Linked DNA regions of Saccharomyces cerevisiae S288C. Changing the gene in region 4 together with the main gene of any one other region gives a genetic interaction. Each region holds a gene or a part of one and is shown on either strand. Other genes may lie near its edges.

What was found.
Region 1: mutations in YPT52 (region 4) and CDC50 together harm fitness more than expected from each alone (negative genetic interaction), as found in Saccharomyces cerevisiae (2 studies listed by BioGRID).
Region 2: mutations in YPT52 (region 4) and ENV9 together harm fitness more than expected from each alone (negative genetic interaction), as found in Saccharomyces cerevisiae (2 studies listed by BioGRID).
Region 3: mutations in YPT52 (region 4) and DCR2 together harm fitness more than expected from each alone (negative genetic interaction), as found in Saccharomyces cerevisiae (2 studies listed by BioGRID).

What each region holds. Positions count from the first base shown.
Region 1 is NC_001135.5:285,016-290,176, reverse strand, and holds CDC50 (aminophospholipid translocase regulatory protein CDC50), read right to left. Parts: upstream 3,416-5,161; coding exon 2,240-3,415; downstream 1-2,239. Other genes in the region: YCR095W-A (uncharacterized protein), read right to left, coding at 380-538; OCA4 (Oca4p), read left to right, coding at 919-2,007; CCR4-NOT core subunit CDC39, read right to left, coding at 3,734-5,161.
Region 2 is NC_001147.6:794,526-798,538, reverse strand, and holds ENV9 (Env9p), read left to right. Parts: upstream 1-1,745; coding exon 1,746-2,738; downstream 2,739-4,013. Other genes in the region: SRL1 (Srl1p), read right to left, coding at 231-863; DGA1 (diacylglycerol O-acyltransferase), read left to right, coding at 3,207-4,013.
Region 3 is NC_001144.5:846,888-851,750, reverse strand, and holds DCR2 (phosphoprotein phosphatase), read left to right. Parts: upstream 1-2,626; coding exon 2,627-4,363; downstream 4,364-4,863. Other genes in the region: mitogen-activated protein kinase kinase kinase STE11, read right to left, coding at 1-1,885; YLR361C-A (uncharacterized protein), read left to right, coding at 2,072-2,368; VPS38 (Vps38p), read right to left, coding at 4,329-4,863. UniProt on the Saccharomyces cerevisiae protein: Required for cell cycle progression. Has a role in the completion of START.
Region 4 is NC_001143.9:463,911-468,581, reverse strand, and holds YPT52 (Rab family GTPase YPT52), read left to right. Parts: upstream 1-2,510; coding exon 2,511-3,215; downstream 3,216-4,671. Other genes in the region: YKR015C (uncharacterized protein), read left to right, coding at 1-1,621; PRY2 (sterol-binding protein), read right to left, coding at 3,634-4,623. UniProt on the Saccharomyces cerevisiae protein: Required for transport in the endocytic pathway and for correct sorting of the vacuolar hydrolases suggesting a possible intersection of the endocytic with the vacuolar sorting pathway.

The DNA.
Region 1 (5,161 bases), on a different chromosome or scaffold from region 4:
TTATTGAGCAAGTGAGCTCTGATATCAGAGACGTTAACATGCAACTCAACCAAGTTGACTCATTCAAGTTGTGCTAAAATGGCCGTAGTGGAGGGGAGGGCCAGCGATGCAGGCGACACCAGCAACAGTTGAAGTTAGTTTTACCATTATGTTCGCTTTGCTTGTTAGTGCTGAATAGACTATACTATAAAAGGAGCAATGCAGGATATTCTCCAAGGCATAATGTGTGAAGTGGCCTATTAGTATGAATATCTTAGCAGTTGTTGCTGCTCAAACGAATCATTACACATCTCAAATCATCCTTTGTTCACTTTCTCTTTCTGCACCTACATCACCGTCTTTAACTGCCTTTATTGAGATGTGGCTGCTCCTGACCTGTTCACCTTTTATAAATCTTGCATAGGAAGGCATGCATTGAACTTTTTTTATTTACTTTCGTATGTTCAGACGAAAAAAAAAAATATTTCAGGATTACTTTCCGAAAGAATCCTTTGTATACATGCAATATCCTTAGACCCAACTTGATTAGAACTGTCATCCAGAAGCCCAATGCTCAAGCTTTGAATATCATATTTTAAAAGTTTTTTATGACAATGAAATTTTGTTTCTCCAAGTCAGGACACGGGGAAAATCTTTACTTTTAGTGCTATCCATAAATATACAGTTCTTTAGCCCCATATTTTATCAGTAAAACTACTTATGGCTGTCCTTACCGTATGCGGTATAATGAAACTTTTGAAAGGAACATCTTAATATACCGCCTTGACATATCCGGGTAATAATAATACAATATTCGGAAGTTTTCTAGCATTAAATGGACAGTAAGGTAAAGAAATGAGATGTGGTTGTTATATGGAGATCGTAGAATAAAAAGAGAGACACTTACAGCACTGGTGCGATCCATAACCTGAATTCATAATGCTGGTTCCACCTGCTAACTTTGGGATTGCTGAAGAAGGAATATATAGATGTTCTAAAGTGGAGACATTAAATTTATCCTTTCTGGAAACTCTCAATTTAAAGACAGCTATATTTATTGGAGGTCAAGAACCATCCAAGTTTTTCAAAGATTTTTTCACAAGATCATCCATAAAATGGATTGTTTTAAGGATGTCTGATTTCTCGGCTGCGGCAGTTCCGGTAAAAAGCTCTTCTGTATCTAACGCAAATTTATATTCGAATAATAACAGTACTCTATCATTACAGGAAGAAAAGAAAAAATCCACTGCAAATGGGTCACAAAATTCTACTACAGGGGATCCTGTAATTCAGGAGGAATTGGCTTACCACTTGACTGACAATGATGACTTAATGCTGATTAAGAGCACGTGTTTAAAAAGAACTTTCAAAACATTATTGAATGTGGATAATTATAATGTTTTATTGGTAGATAAGACCGCGTTGGTCATTGGTATACTTCGAAAAATTCAGAAATGGAATATTGCATCAATCATAAATGAGTACAGATTATTTTCTGGTAAGAATAGAAATTATTTTGCGGAAACATTTCTAGAAATAATTAACATTGAGATAGAACAGGAGAAGGATAATAAGACAATTGTGGACAACAAAGCAAAAAAATTGCCCCTTGAGAATAATAGGACGCATTCGATAGAGTATAAGGCCAATTCTGGCAAACTTATTAGAGTAAATGAAGATGACCTTTGCAGAGAGCCAGAAGTGCCTCAGCGGCTTTTGACATTAATAAATCAAATCGAAACCAAAGTGAAAAATAATAAAGTATTACAAGTAAGTGGAGTTCTAGGAGACGATTTGAAGAAAACCTCTTCTGACCTAGGAATTTTTGGCCATAGGTATAGATTAGCATTTAATAAAAAAGAAAATGGAGATTATGGCTATTATAAAGCAAGGGGAAAAGATAACGTCAAAATAAGGATACCCTGTGATTCTGAATTACCAGATTGGTTCAGGTTTCAACGAGATTTGTGGGAAAAAGAAAACGTTCCGGAAGAGCATCACTTTTATAGGGAACATATTTTTACATAGTTTACATTTTTACGTATATGTATAGATGATTTCATGATAAACGTTTTCCACTTTTCTATCATTTCATCATCTAAATGGGAATAGCAAACCCTGGGAGTTCTTTGTCGCACTATTTTCCAAGCGTAAAAAGGCATACTTCAATTTTTCTTTTGTTTACGTTTCAGGAAGTCAACAAAACTTGTTTACTTATAAACACAAATACCTACAGGCACTAAAGTTTGTTTTTTGGCCTCTATAAAATTTCCCTCAATGTTGTATTCTCTGCGTGTACATCCTCATAATCCTCGTTTTCTTCATCATCAAAATTCAAATAAGTGTGATCACCCATCGCTCTTGGTTGGAAGATTAATTTAACCAAAAAAATGATGCCAAATAAGGCGCAAAGCCCTGCAACGATGAGGTACAGTACGCCTAGTGACATATTTCTACCACCAATAGCTCCATTTGTAGTCAGTACAAATGATTTTGTGCCACCAAAGAGTGAAATCGGATAATTCAACTCAATGTTCATTTGATATTTACCCTTCGGTAAAGAAGCAGATTCATTTTTCAACGTCAACTTGTAAAACTTGGGAAAGGCTGCAGTCCTCATCCATACCTGGAACTCTTCCCAAGTATGGATATCAGGAAGATTTTCATCTGTATACCCATCGGGATACTTCTTCATCCAGTTTGGCGGTGGAACAATATCGCTAGCATTATACTTGGTGGTTTTAAATCTGTGACGATCAATACTCCATGATATATGCTTGTTAGTTAAATTATAGTCTTCTGTGTCATCTATACCACTCAACACCTGAGAAAATGTATCATTAAACATGGAATTAGCGATCAACCCACAGGGATATATTATTTTGTCTTCCCTACTTCTTATTGGACTACAGCTTGTATCCAGATCATCTTTTTTGATAGGCTCCCCTAATATTTGCTTTGTGTCAAACGATTGGACATATCTGCGATGATTTTGATAAAAATTGGTTATTTTATAATATATAAAAATGGATTTCTTGATATCGTTTGGGATTTCGAACTGCAGTTCGCATGATTGTTCGCCATTTTCATTTTCGGTTAGCCTCCATTGTGGTTTATTTTCAACTTTACTTTTAAAGTGATATTTAATGTACTTCTTTGGTATATCTTCAAAAGCAGTTGTAGATGCTTTTGTATCACAATGACTATAATCAATTGTTAGATCTTGTACCTTAGTAGCGCTTACAATGAGTCCAATACCAATAGGAGTAAATATACATGCAACGAATATTAACAACGGAAGCACACTTTGAGGAGACAGTATTGGTTGCCATGCCTTAAGCCTTTGTTGTCTAAACGCTGTGTTAGGAGGCTTTTTAGAAGTGGGGCCTTCTTTCGTGAGCGGTGGAGCCTTACCTCTTTTGAACAATGAAACCATATACAAGCTGTTCTATAGAACTTCAAGTTCGATTACTCAATTATTCTTTGTTCGCAGTGCGTCATGGACATAAGGTAATTGCAGCTCTTGTTTGATATAAATTGATGCTCATTATTATTATTATTCTCCAAAACAATAATACGGGTAACACTAATTTTCAGTAGTTCAAAAGTGAAAGCGACCCATATACAGTAAGAAAAGTTAATCGAAATTGCTTCTATTCTTATTCAAAATAGTATTCTCTGAAATATAGTATTATACAAGTTATATTTTTTTTTCTGAAATCATGATTTTCGTATATAAATAAATGCAGTTTTTTTATGCGTTGGATTGTAGAGGGGTTTGCCTTCTATTGATGGTGGCGGATTGGTCATCTTGTTCACTGGTTGTGTATTTTTTGGAATATTTTACTAATTGTTGTAAAATTAGTTTAATTTCGGGAACACTTTGTACAAAGGGCAGGTCTAAAAGATTAATATCGTTATTGTTTATCAACTGAGTAAAGAAAACTGAAACACCCCAGGTATGTGGTTTGTTAACAATAATTCTTTTTAAAAAGTTTCTTAAAATAATTTCTTGGACTTCAAGTTTTTGATCATTCCATTCGTCACTTTTGAACATATTCATTAACACAAAGCTGAACCAATAGGTGTGGATGTTTGGATACCGCAATTGTTCCACAATAGACAGAATAATTTGATATTTCATTTCGATGCTACCATTTTGAATCAGATTGAACAATAAAGTATAATAAGAAGACTTCGTATTAAATACCGCATTTGAAGAAGTTCTCTTATACTCTATTCCAGCTTCAATGCCCACATGTAATACAATAGCGCGAATTAATTTACTATCAACAGATAAAAAGTCGTAGCCTACGCCCTTTTTTATGTCATAGGTATCCTTGTAAATAGCGCTTAGTATTGTTCTTAATAATGAATTTGAGGGAATACGTAGGTAGTTGTCAACTGGCTTTTTCAATGAGTGTAAATCAATTACAGGATCAAAGAAGACTTCAGGTAGTTCTTTACATGCTGGAATATCCTCCATATTAAGATCCACGTCATATGGGTTGGGAACGGTCATATTCTTAGGAATAGCAGATAAAATAACATTCTTTAGTTGGAAATATGTTGGAGGTAGATTGTTCATTAATTCATAGTGATTTTCAATCAAAAAGGATGGCATATCATTCGAAATGCCTAAAATAACACGCAGTGTTCCCTTATAAACAACCGAAACAGCGTCAGAGACTGCATGTTTACTTGTGTATTGGTCCAAAAATTTAAACAAATCGATAATCAAAAGCATTAACTTTTCCCAACCTATTTTATTGGGTAATCTTAGCATAATTGGTAATAACATTCTGTGTGATAATAGTGTCACCCATGCAAATGAGAATCCAGGGAAGGCAAATGGTTGCAGAGCGTGCAAATATCCTGAGAAAGTGTTGTAAAATACAGAATCAAATTCGATCAGCTCCTGCCTAGTGCTGGAATCAGATATTCTAACAAAATTGTGCGTCCTGATGGTAGCCCATTCGTATAAGATGTTAGAAAATAGTCTGAAATATGGTCGTTCATTGAATGTGGTACCCTCTTGGCTATGATCCTTAGCAAACACTAAAACGATCACAGAAAATATTGCATTTATGTAATCTCTTCTTGTATCATCTTTGAAACCCTGTAAAATCAACAATTTTATAATTAGCGATCCTAGAGCATCAATAGCGATGAAAACCTCATC
Region 2 (4,013 bases), on a different chromosome or scaffold from region 4:
AAATTAGGTGAAGTGTCTTTTTATTTTATTTTTTTTTTTCTATTAACAAACAAATGTCCATGTATATATATATAAACGAGAGAAAAATGATAGTGAAAAATAAATACCAGTTGGAACTTAAACTGATGTATTTAGGTAGCAGAAGGATAGAGTTACAGAAGGTGAAATTGTCAATACAGATACAAAAAAGAAACAAAAAGAACTTAAAAGGACACGTTTGAACTCATAATTCACCAACTGGTCGAATTAGTAATCGAAGTGGTGTTGTACCATTGTACGTTACCTGGAGAGGTAGTGGTAACAGAAGGTGCACCGGTGACAGTAACGTATTGTGTAGTCGTATTTGGGGTGACTGTAACGTACTGGGTAACGGGCTCATTGGTGACAGTGACAAACTTTGTGATTGGGACGCAACCATTGGAAGTTGAAGCCTGTTCAAAGGACTTGACCTTTGCATCTTTGTTGTTTGAATCTTCGTCACTGACACTTGCTGCAGTAGATGATGGAGACAAAGTAGTGGAGTCATGAAGGGTTAGCAGCAAAGTGGACGTGATAGTCGAGGTGGAGGTAATTTCATGGGTGGATTCTGGGGTTACAGATCCAGAGGCCGAAGAGGTGGACAAGGAGGAGGAGGCCGCATTGGTAATGGTGGCTGAAGTTGAGGTGAACCAGCTCGTGGAGTAGACCGTTGAGGTGACAAAAAAGGTAGTGGTGTCGTCGGCGTACGATATGGTAGTCTCTTGGGGCACCAAGGAGTAGCTGGGCGCTAAAGTGGTAGTTGTAGAAACAGTATTGTTTGAATAAATCGCTGACACAGAACTTGCGAAGGTTAAAAGAGCGAAAAAGACAACGGATTGAAGCATTTTTTTATTTTTGGTTGATAAAGAACGACTAAGGTGAGAGTGAAAGTGATGTGATTTTTAATTATGTAGTGTAATTGAAACAATAAAAAAAAAACAAGGGAATGGACGAGACCTATTAATGGGTACTATGGCTCAAATAGCAAAAAAAATTTGTAAAATGGGTAAAAAAATGAGAGAAATACGCGAGAAACCTCTTGGTTGGATGTTGTGCTAAACTAGTTGCTTAAACGCTTGCAAAACTTTTTTATAGATAAAATATGCCAAGTGAAAAGAAAAGGAAGCAGAAGAGAAAAACTTAGAAAGGTAGAGGTAAGAAAGAATAAACCAAAATGTAAGCTAGGTGAGGGAAATATTTTGGAGCTTAAATATCTCGAACGACACTCACTCTCGTCAGAAAAATCTGTCGAGTAACTCAGACCACCTCCGATAGCATACCTTGTTTAGTTTCATAATCGGCAGAGACGTCATTCCTGCACAGAACGCCAAAATTCGTGGCCCCCGCGGTACCTGAATCAGGGCCAAGAATTTTGGCGTTTCGTGTTGTTGACATATTCCGAAAAAGGTATTGAGCCACAGGTCTTTCGCGTCTTCTAAGCCCCAAGATAAAGAAAATGCCGCCCTGCTTAATCACTGTTTTTTTTTGGAAAACCCTGAAGTATAGAAGTAGGGCATTGAAAGAAAAGATATGCGGGTAAGATATGAAAAAATTGAGGAAATGAGACCCAAGTGTACATGGGTATATATAAACAAATCATTATGGTGCATGATGCATCACTTACAATGCACACACACTATTGTCTTTGTAGAAACGGGGAAGACAATGGTTGTAGGCCTGATTGGTATTAGAGGCATCCGCAGTACGAGACATACGCCAAAGGCAGAATGTTAGACCCACGAATATTGCCATACTACGACCCGGCTGTGGAGAGGAAGATTGCTGTAGTAACAGGCGGAAATACGGGTATTGGGTGGTATACTGTCTTGCATTTGTATTTGCATGGGTTTGTCGTTTATATTTGTGGGAGAAACTCTCACAAGATTTCGAAAGCAATCCAGGAGATACTGGCAGAAGCAAAGAAGAGGTGCCATGAAGATGACGACGGTTCAAGCCCAGGCGCGGGCCCAGGTCCAAGCATTCAGCGTCTAGGGTCACTGCACTATATCCATTTGGATTTGACAGACTTAAAATGTGTGGAGAGAGCGGCACTTAAAATTCTCAAGCTGGAAGACCACATAGACGTGCTTGTTAACAATGCAGGGATTATGGCGGTGCCCTTAGAAATGACGAAGGACGGATTTGAAGTGCAATTGCAGACTAACTACATTTCGCACTTCATCTTCACGATGAGATTATTGCCTTTACTGCGCCATTGTCGTGGCAGGATCATTTCCCTGTCCTCGATAGGCCATCATCTAGAGTTCATGTACTGGAAACTGAGCAAGACGTGGGATTACAAACCTAATATGCTTTTCACATGGTTTAGGTACGCGATGAGTAAAACCGCGCTAATCCAATGCACGAAGATGTTGGCCATCAAATACCCTGACGTTCTTTGTCTCTCCGTTCATCCGGGTCTGGTGATGAACACAAACTTATTCAGTTATTGGACAAGGTTACCCATCGTCGGTATTTTCTTTTGGCTGTTGTTCCAGGTCGTAGGGTTCTTTTTCGGCGTATCGAACGAACAAGGTTCACTAGCTTCTTTGAAGTGTGCATTGGACCCGAATTTATCTGTCGAAAAAGATAACGGGAAGTACTTCACCACGGGGGGTAAAGAATCTAAATCGAGCTACGTTTCTAACAATGTCGACGAAGCGGCATCGACTTGGATCTGGACCGTTCATCAACTAAGAGACCGTGGTTTCGATATATAACAAGACGGAAAGATTGAAAGAGTAGATAGATGTACATTTTATTTAAATATTAGTTAGTCGTTATTGTAACTGGTAATCAGAGCAAGAAGTTTTTCTGTACTTTGTTCTCTGCAGGCAACTAAGTTACGGGCCGACAAAGGCTTATGATGTGCGTTTTTTATTCAATTGATAGATTCAGTCAGCATTGACGTAATGGGAAGGCTAGAAAAAGAGAAGACTGAATTTGGAAACTTATTCCTCAAAGCAGACCAGTACTTCCACCGCATTTCTGTACTTAACCAAGCACGACAGTGGTCTATCAGGCTTGGATCTTTCACTACACTTCCGCCAAAGTTTTTTTTTTTTCCTGTTTATCCCAGATCACGTTTGTTCCATTAAGGAGGTTTACTATCATCTCATTTCCATTTACACATACACTTACATATACATAAGGAAACGCAGAGGCATACAGTTTGAACAGTCACATAAATGTCAGGAACATTCAATGATATAAGAAGAAGGAAGAAGGAAGAAGGAAGCCCTACAGCCGGTATTACCGAAAGGCATGAGAATAAGTCTTTGTCAAGCATCGATAAAAGAGAACAGACTCTCAAACCACAACTAGAGTCATGCTGTCCATTGGCGACCCCTTTTGAAAGAAGGTTACAAACTCTGGCTGTAGCATGGCACACTTCTTCATTTGTACTCTTCTCCATATTTACGTTATTTGCAATCTCGACACCAGCACTGTGGGTTCTTGCTATTCCATATATGATTTATTTTTTTTTCGATAGGTCTCCTGCAACTGGCGAAGTGGTAAATCGATACTCTCTTCGATTTCGTTCATTGCCCATTTGGAAGTGGTATTGTGATTATTTCCCTATAAGTTTGATTAAAACTGTCAATTTAAAACCAACTTTTACGCTTTCAAAAAATAAGAGAGTTAACGAAAAAAATTACAAGATTAGATTGTGGCCAACTAAGTATTCCATTAATCTCAAAAGCAACTCTACTATTGACTATCGCAACCAGGAATGTACAGGGCCAACGTACTTATTTGGTTACCATCCACACGGCATAGGAGCACTTGGTGCGTTTGGAGCGTTTGCAACAGAAGGTTGTAACTATTCCAAGATTTTCCCAGGTATTCCTATTTCTCTGATGACACTGGTCACACAATTTCATATCCCATTGTATAGAGACTACTTATTGGCGTTAGGTATTTCTTCAGTATCTCGGAAAAACGCTTTAAGGACTCTAAGCAAAAATCAGTCGATCTGCATTGTTGTTGGTGGC
Region 3 (4,863 bases), on a different chromosome or scaffold from region 4:
CCACCTCTGGTGACATCCAGAATACGGAACCTTGCAAAGAAGCTCTCTTATTTTGTTTTTTATTCAAAGGTGATAATTTTTTTGAAATACCAAAATCAGTAATTTTTACGCAACCTTTGATATCAATCAAAATATTTGCACCCTTGATATCTCTGTGAATAATGTTCTTCTTATGCAAATACGCAACCCCAATCAGTATTTGCCTAGTGAAATTAGTAATCAGTGATTCCTCAAATGGACCGTAATTATTCAGCATGGAGGAAACCGAACCCCCAGGAACGTATTCAAGAAAAATATTTAAATTTCCGCCTTCTTGAGAAGCACCATAATAAGTAACAATGTTCTCATGATGTAACTCCTTCAATAAATTCATTTCATGCTGTAAAGCATCAACCATCTTTCTGTGAATATTTTGATTGGTTTTTGGATGACTTACCGCCCCAACATCTTCTATTTTCTCTTGTTGTTCCTCCTGCTCATTATTCTCATCAGAATTGGCTTGTTTATTGTTGTCTGTGGGAACACCAATGTTATTATTTTTTATCTCCACTTGCTTTACTGCCATTAGTTCACCAGTGTGAGCATTCATGCCCAAGTAAACACTCCCAAAACTGCCTGATCCAATGCAAGCACCTTTTAACCAATTCTTGGGCGTGGCAATTTTCGTCGGTAATGAAACAATGTCACTGTCCTCCCCAAAGAAATCGTGATCTTCTTCTTCACCAGACTCTACACTTAATAGTTCTAACTGGTTAGATATGGCATCATTATCTTCTGGCCTTTTATGGGCAAGCTTCGGAATTTTAGTTGTGTCAAGTTTACTGCTTAATCTTGTCTGATCTAATCCTTGTAATAGGGCCATATCAACAGCGTTTGAGTGTTTCAATAGTATGTCACCGATATTATTTGATTCTGCACTTAAAGGTCTTCTTTGAGCAATGCTTAGCCTTGCTGAATGGCGAAATGACTCTCTCATCGTCTTTTGCAACCGCTTCATGTCTGTATGAGGAAAATATCCGGCCAAATTGGTAGAAATAAATTCGCTAGGAGGCCTCTGATTAAAAATCTGTCTAATTCTGTCCTTTTCTGTGTTGTCGATCCGGAGTTTCCCTTCAGCATTGTTATGCGAAATCCCCTTGTTCTGTGCCAACAAATTTGACGAGGATGGCCCAACCTGGCTCAATGCACTCAACGTTCTTAGATATAGTTTTTTGGATGTGGATATAGCTTTATCACTTGGTGTTTGGTCTTTGGAAACAAAAATTAGCCTATTTTTCTCAACACGATCATTTGCGTGGCAAATAGTGACTAATTCCACGTCATATAGCAAATGCAGTACGTTCTTGGTATAATCTAAGACAAACACATCATAATCTTGGACCATTTTAGTTACTTCTCCATTGGAGTTTGTGGCTAATAATTCATGTGGCAATCTTCTGATTAGCCTTTTCTTAATAGAATCTGCATTAAAGCAACCATTTACATTAACTTTCTTAGCGGAACCATCGTTTAAGATAAATATAACACAGTGCTTTTCAGGAATCAATTCTGAATTCATCGATAGCGTAGCAGTGGATAGAGAGCTTACTTTTTCCATCAGGTTTTTCAATCTATTCACCTGTTCAATCCGTTTATCTCTCTGGAACGATTTTGACTTCCTTAAAATTTTGAGTCTGTCTCCTATTTTGTTTACACCCAAAGCAATGAGGATATCCTTGTCGAGATACTTAATTTCTTCTTCTGTGACAAGGTTGCACTGAATAAAGCTATCCAGGTATTGAGTGCATCCTATTTCCTCCAGAAATAACTGCACAAAAGGTAAATCGTTGGTCTTTTCGTCACCAATTAGTAAGTCAGTGCCCTCTGCTGTTTGTGTCTGTTCCATGTATATTTCGTCTACCGGTGATCTTATCATACTAGCTTTATTAAGTGGTCTCTCTTTATGCATGTGTGTAAATATGAATATTTTCTACTGTTTAAAGCCATCGCGGCGAAAGCTTTACACCTTAAAAGGCTTTTAATGCTAGCCTGATAACGAAAGGCATGGTGAGGACAGCATAAAGAAACTATAATGGCAGTTAGTAATAATAATAATAATAATAATAGTAAAGAACGCACCCAAAATATAAAAGAAGTGGAGGAAAAGTTGGGCGAGAATCCAAAGATTACTTTAAAAGGGGGAGGGAAAACTAAAATCATGGATTTTGAACAGTTACGCAAGCCCCATTGCGTAAGACCCAGTGCAAGATTTCCAGTTGAAGATACTGCCGGTGGTTTATTGAGAACGGGTGGCCACAGGCCTCAGATAAGTGATGAAGAAGTCTCTAAAAGGCACCATGAACAGTCTCATGGACAAGAAGATCATTAATAGTATTGTATATAGGACTTGCTCAGTTATATTTCATTTCTATTTCATAAGCTAGAAGGCTAACTTGTATAAAGCTGCGCAGAAAGTGTTTCCATTTTACGTATATTTAGATTTATATTTTGCCTTAGGTGCTTTTTGAATTTCAAATGGTTTAGTGTTGATCTTTTTCAAAAATTAATCTTTTTAGATCGCAGATACCTCTGATACAAGTTTTATACTTAAGTATCGAAGACCAGCACCGTGGTTAAAAATCTTAACATGATCCGGTTACCGAGGCTGTATCAAAGGTACCTATTATACTTGGTAGTTTTTGTAGTGATTGCCCTATTTTACTTCCTACAGGCGCCAAGAGTTGAAGAGCACATTGGTTTCGACCTTGCACTCCCGATATCACACGTTGATAATCTATGGTTCCAAAATAAAGGTCTAGAGGGATTCTCAAATGACGATAAGCTAGTTGTAAATATAGGCTATGACGAATGTTTTCATATTGGTCGTTTTTATGAAGGATGTTTTAATCGGCATGAACTTAAATCAACTTTAACTGATGGGCACCAATACTTACAAAGGAAAAGAATTCATAAAGACTTGAGAGGTTCCTTTGGACGCAGGTGGTTTGGAAAGTCAGAATACCTTTACTATGATGTGTTATACCCTGCTTTGGTGGACTACTTTGGATCCAACCTAGAAAAGCTAAATGTTGAGGCAGTAACTGGAATTTCCAAATATCCTAAAGACAAATCGCTACCCTTTATGGATGTATCCATCACATTCGAGCCTATTAGCATAGAACTATTGCAGAAAAGGAGCTACATAAGCGATATTAACATTCTCTTTGGTGTTGATTGCATCCAGCCGATAGCAAATTGGACTCTTCAAAAAGAATTTCCCTTAGTAAAATACCGCTACAGCGAACCTGCTTATTTGACTTACAAATTCGTTGGTACTCGTCCTGTAGACACAGGAGCTCAACGGCTGCAAGAAACTGATGAAGGAAAGTTCAAAATTGTTCAGTTGGCGGATCTCCACTTGGGTGTGGGGGAGTCTGAATGTATCGATGAGTATCCAAAGCATGAAGCTTGCAAGGCAGATCCAAAAACGGAAACTTTCGTTCAACAAGTTCTTGACATTGAAAAACCGCAGTTGGTTGTTTTTACTGGTGACCAAATCATGGGTGATAGATCTATTCAAGACTCTGAAACCGTATTATTAAAGGCGGTAGCACCCGTCATTGCAAGAAAAATTCCGTGGGCAATGGTATGGGGAAATCACGACGACGAGGGAAGCTTAACGCGCTGGCAGTTATCCGAAATAGCTTCAGTACTACCATATTCCCTTTTCAAGTTTAGTCCCCATGATACACACGATAATACGTTTGGCGTTGGTAATTATATTTATCAGATTTTTTCGAACAATGATACAGAAGTCCCAGTAGGTACACTTTATTTTCTGGACTCACATAAATATTCTACGGTTGGTAAAATTTATCCTGGATATGATTGGATTAAGGAATCACAGTGGAAATACATTGAAGATTATCATGATGTGAACTTGAAGTTCAAAACAGGTCTTTCAATGGCATTTTTTCACATCCCACTGCCAGAATACTTGAATATTGAATCCAAGACACATCCCGGAGAGAAAAATCCCCTCATTGGAATGTACAAAGAAGGTGTTACTGCACCTAAGTATAATTCTGAGGGGATAACAACTTTGGATAGGTTAAGTGTGGATGTCGTCAGTTGCGGACATGACCATTGTAACGATTACTGTCTTCGAGATGACTCTACGCCGAACAAAATCTGGCTATGCTATGGCGGTGGAGGTGGAGAAGGTGGTTATGCTGGCTATGGAGGTACAGAAAGACGTATCCGTATTTATGAAATTAATGTAAATGAGAACAATATACACACATGGAAAAGATTAAATGGCAGTCCAAAAGAGATTTTTGATTTTCAGTCTATGTTGGACGGTAATTCTCCAGAATCTGTTTAAATTGCAATATATCAGCATTAAAATAATGTATGGCTTTAATCAGCTTTGCTTGATGCTTAGAAATCATTTGATCAGTGAAATACAACGGATATTGACTGTCGATCACTGATGTACTACCATAATACATTAGTCTATAGGGTAAAGGAGCCTTGAAAATTTGGATGGCTGTCAAATGGAGAAATAAAAGGTAATAACCCAACTGGCTGTTTACATATTCTCTGTGCTTTGTGGATTCGCCGGCTTGTCTAAGTAATATCTCTATATTCAAAGGTTTTAGCTTGAGCCTATTAATAACATCATTTACGCTAGAAGGTTTTTCAAAGTAAATATAGCCTCTATCTGAATTAAATAAATCCGTTGAATGGAAGATCCCTATCAGCTGATACAGTTTCTTAAACCTCAGTTGGTCCAACCTATCTTTTATTTGCACAAATCTAGAATATATGCTTCCATAGTCATCATTTATAGACTCGTCCTGCGACATCAGAGACAGTTCTGTT
Region 4 (4,671 bases):
AGGCTGTCGAAGTTTGAAAGATCGGCTTCAAATGCTTAAGGATCTGGGGAGGGAATTTATGATATTCGAGAACTTGAATGTGGAAGATTTCAGAGAATCTAAAAATATGATTCACAGATTTTATACTATGGTTATTTCTTTAAGACAGATTATGGAAATTGGGCCCTTAGTCAGGCGTAGCCCTGCTGTTTTAGTTGTGGAATTCGATTGTCCGGTAGAGGATTGCCTAGATGAACTGGATCCGTTGCATCCATTGAACAGGGCCTTTATATTTATTCATAAACAATGGACCTATTATCATCAATATTATATAGTTGAAAAGGTAAAAAAGGTGATTCTTGATATGGCCCCGGTAAAGGAAGATGATTGGAGCATCCTTCACAAGGTTGTTTATTCAGAAGGTTTTGTCGAAAGACGATATAAAAAGAAGAAATACCTCGGTGATATTTACATTCCACAACCATTAATGAAAAGCAATAAAATCACTACTATCTCAAATTTTTCCCAACTTACCAAAATTTCCAACGTCAGAGTTTACAGATTCAACGCTACAGCAGCGTGTGATCCGCAGAACTTGAACAAAAAAAACTTGAGTATCAAAGAGCTTAAAGATAAAGACCTTCCTAATCTTATTTGGACTTTAGAACCAGAAAAATTCTATGTTGACATGAGACCTTACAAGGAACACGAGGAAAGGAAAAAACGGAGAGAAGAAGAAGCCAAGGTGAGGATGCAAGGTGAGGAACAGGAGAACATTATGATAGAGAGAAAAAAAATGGATAGTATTGAAGTTGAAGCGTCATCAGGATTGAAAAATATCATAAAAACACCTCTCGCTAATAGGGTTGTCAATACTTTTAATAACTGCGCTGCTGTGGTAATAGGCTATGTAACAGAAGTGGATAAAGTAAAGGATGACAATGAAGAGAAAAATAACGACAGACCTAAAATTGCGAACGACGGAATAGCTCAAAAGTCTAGAAGCGAAAGTGAAGATAATGCAGGAACACCGATGGAAAACGCGTACTTTCAACCTGAACCCCAAGATAATGACCAAAACAACATATCTTGGAATACCACTATGAAAGATATTGATCCAATTTACATGAGTGAAAGATGTGCTAGAGTTTGGAGAAAGGAGCAACAAATGCTAGGATTGGAGAAGGCTCAGACATTTGAGAAAAAATATTGTAAAGATCAGATGGTTATGGACGAAAATCAGGTCGAAGAACCTGGTAAGCACTCGGAGAGACATACAAAAAATCAGGTAGTTAGACCTAGGACCAAAATAGCATCTTCCGCCAGTAAAAATGATAATAGTAATAATAAAAATAGTAAATCATGCAAAAATTGCCATAAAGAGGAAGCGCACGGTCTAGTGAGAGAATACCTTAAGATTAAACTCAACATATCACCTCATGGAGAAAGGAATCAGCGAACAAAGGACAAGAGAAAATGTATAATGAAATACAATGCGAGCAGTAACAACATCAACAAAATGCCTGGGGAGAGTGAAGTACTTGGGTCAACTATTTTAACAGATATCCACTTTAAGGATGTCGTAACTGTGAAATTTAGGGATTTTAAAGCCAAATTTAGAAAAGTCAAAATAAACGCTTGATTTGCCAAAAATGCTATAGTCGCATCTAGAAATCATTACCAAAACGTGACGATTAACATAATACATTCAAAAATAAGATAGGATGCATTACATTTCATTATACCGTGGATTGGAACTGAAGATGAAAATTGCAGTAAATAGACAATAATCAGGCCTTATGGTTGTATGTCATATGTATACTCAAGATTTGAACTTTATATCACCTTTATTAGCGCATTAGCGCACATTTTAGGCCCCATTTCGAGGAATGTGGATTTTTGGCAAATCAATGTTTCTAGGTGTCTCTTAGCTTTCTATATAAGGAGTAAGGTATGCTTCTTGATGACATCAACCGTTTACTATACTTTTTTTAGATATTTTGTTTTCTGCGATAAGTATGATGGAAAGTAAACTGGTAATAACGTCAATACGTACTCTCTTGTAATTGTAGTGAAGCACAGTAATTAATATTTAAGCGTTCCCATGTTCAAATGTGTGAAAGGTAGGTAAAATCATTATGTTAAATTTTGAAATCCACATGACCTTGAATTAAATAGGCACATCACGATTGTAAAGGAATGAAATCAATCTGACTCCAAATTACTCAATGTTCTTAACACTATGTGTATCATTGAGACCAAACGGCAACTTCATAGTGTCTTGCTTTCGTGGACAGCGACTACTATTCTGGCCGGACAATTCAGGTTTATAAAGCTCTGCCCCTGCGATATGAAGTTACAATGTTAACATACGGGAGTGAAGGGAACAGGCCCGTTTACCAACTGTCAGTATTAATTATTTGTTAAGTCGCTTCGATATCGAGCTCTGGACATATCTAAATTTTTTTTTATAGTGCGAGGGTAGGAAGAAGGTTTAACTTATTTGGAGTAAACGTATATATTATTAACAGATGTTGCAATTTAAACTAGTTTTATTGGGTGACTCATCCGTGGGTAAATCTTCCATTGTTCATCGTTTTGTTAAGGATACATTCGATGAACTACGTGAAAGTACGATTGGTGCTGCTTTTTTATCTCAATCAATCACTATTCACCCAAACGATGGTAATGAAACAAAGGATGTCGTTATAAAATTTGAAATCTGGGATACTGCTGGTCAAGAAAGATACAAGTCATTGGCACCAATGTATTATAGAAACGCTAATGCAGCATTAGTTGTTTATGACATTACGCAGGAAGATTCACTACAAAAGGCAAGGAACTGGGTTGATGAGCTGAAAAATAAGGTAGGCGACGACGACTTGGTTATTTATTTACTGGGAAACAAAGTGGATTTATGTCAAGAAACGCCTAGCACTGAGACAAGCCCAGATTCAAACGAAGGTGGAGATGAAGAACAAAAAGTAAGAGCAATTAGCACTGAAGAAGCGAAACAGTACGCACAAGAACAAGGGTTGCTGTTCCGAGAAGTTAGTGCTAAGACAGGTGAAGGGGTTAAGGAAATTTTTCAAGATATTGGTGAAAAATTATACGATTTAAAGAAAGACGAAATTCTCTCTAAGCAAAATAGACAAATCGGTGGAGGCAATAACGGACAAGTAGACATTAATTTGCAAAGGCCATCCACAAATGATCCAACATCTTGTTGCAGTTGATATCCTATGATTTGTGTTTTAGAGGAAAAACAACAGAAGTTGCTTTAATTAAACTGCTACTTTCCGATAATAAAGCAGTATATACGTAATAATGTAAAAAAAAAAAGAAAAGGGAAGAGTAACTTTATATATGATTGTACATATACAGTATACATGAATATATATATATATATTTATATATATATATATATATACGTAGCCGTCGGCAAGATCTCCCAATTTTTTTCGTTCACCCTATTTACCATGCATGAGACTATGACAATGTTATATGATCTTGCTTGCATTTAATTTGCGTACCCTAGAAAAGAAGAATCCTTAGTGTATAATAAAAATTGAAACTATAAAAGAGAAATGTAAGAGAAGGAACAGTGCCCATTGCTGTTCATGTCCATACCCATGTATTCGCTAAATTCAGTGATTAAGCTAATGGCATAACGTTGTCAGCAAACTCACCAATGACATTACCAGCGGCTTTGTAGGAACAAATGATGTAATCGCCCCATTCGCCACCGCAAGATTTCAAACCGCAACCAACTTCAGAAGTTCCCTTCCATACGACTTGGGTGAAGTGACCTGCGCTTTCACTAAAACCAGGGTTGGAATAGTCGTAGCTGGTAATTTCGTTATACCAGGCATCAACAGAGCCGGTCGTACCGTAACCAAGTGCCAAGTTTTCACCGTATGGACCGCCGGAGTGGACTAGGTTGCCTGAACAATCGTAGGAGTCAGCGTAGTTTTGTGCATATGTTGCTAGTGTGTCAGACCATGTCAAAGAACCGGTATCCTTGTGCAACGCCCTTTTAGTGTTGTGTTCGTTAACCATTGACGTTGAGAAATCGGAGCTTGAGGATTGAGTGCTTGAGGCGGTAGATTGAGTGGTGGTAGCGGTGGTTGGGCTAGCAGTAGTAGTTGGACTAGCGGTAGTAGTTGGGCTAGTGGTAGTGGTTGGGCTAGTGGTAGTGGTTGTTGGAGTAGTTGTGCTGGTAGGTTGTGTTGAAGATGTTAAAGTTGTGGTTACATCATCCTGTGTGGCACTTGCGGAGGTTTGCACCGCTTGTATGGTTGCAGTTGCTGTAGAAAATGCTTCAGATGTTTCTGTAGAGGATTCTTCAAATGTTGCAGATTCAGCCACGACAGCGCTTTCTTGGATAACGGAAGTAGCTATGCTGTCCACTTGAGCATTAGCAACCACAATAGGAGCTGATGTTGTGGCAACGGGACTAGCAGAAGCCGTTTGAGTGCCCTTGGTAATGAACGTCGTTAGAGTCTGGCCATTTTCTACACGAACTATACCTTGTACCACTACAGTGGCAGCTTGGTGGACATGTTGCGTGACAGTCACAGCAACTGGGGCAGATAAAGCGACAGATGCAGATGCGGCCAGTAGTGAGACTTTAGAAAATTTCATCTTTGTAAGTTTTATTAAAGGAATGGTATTGTTTTATGATGGGCTGTT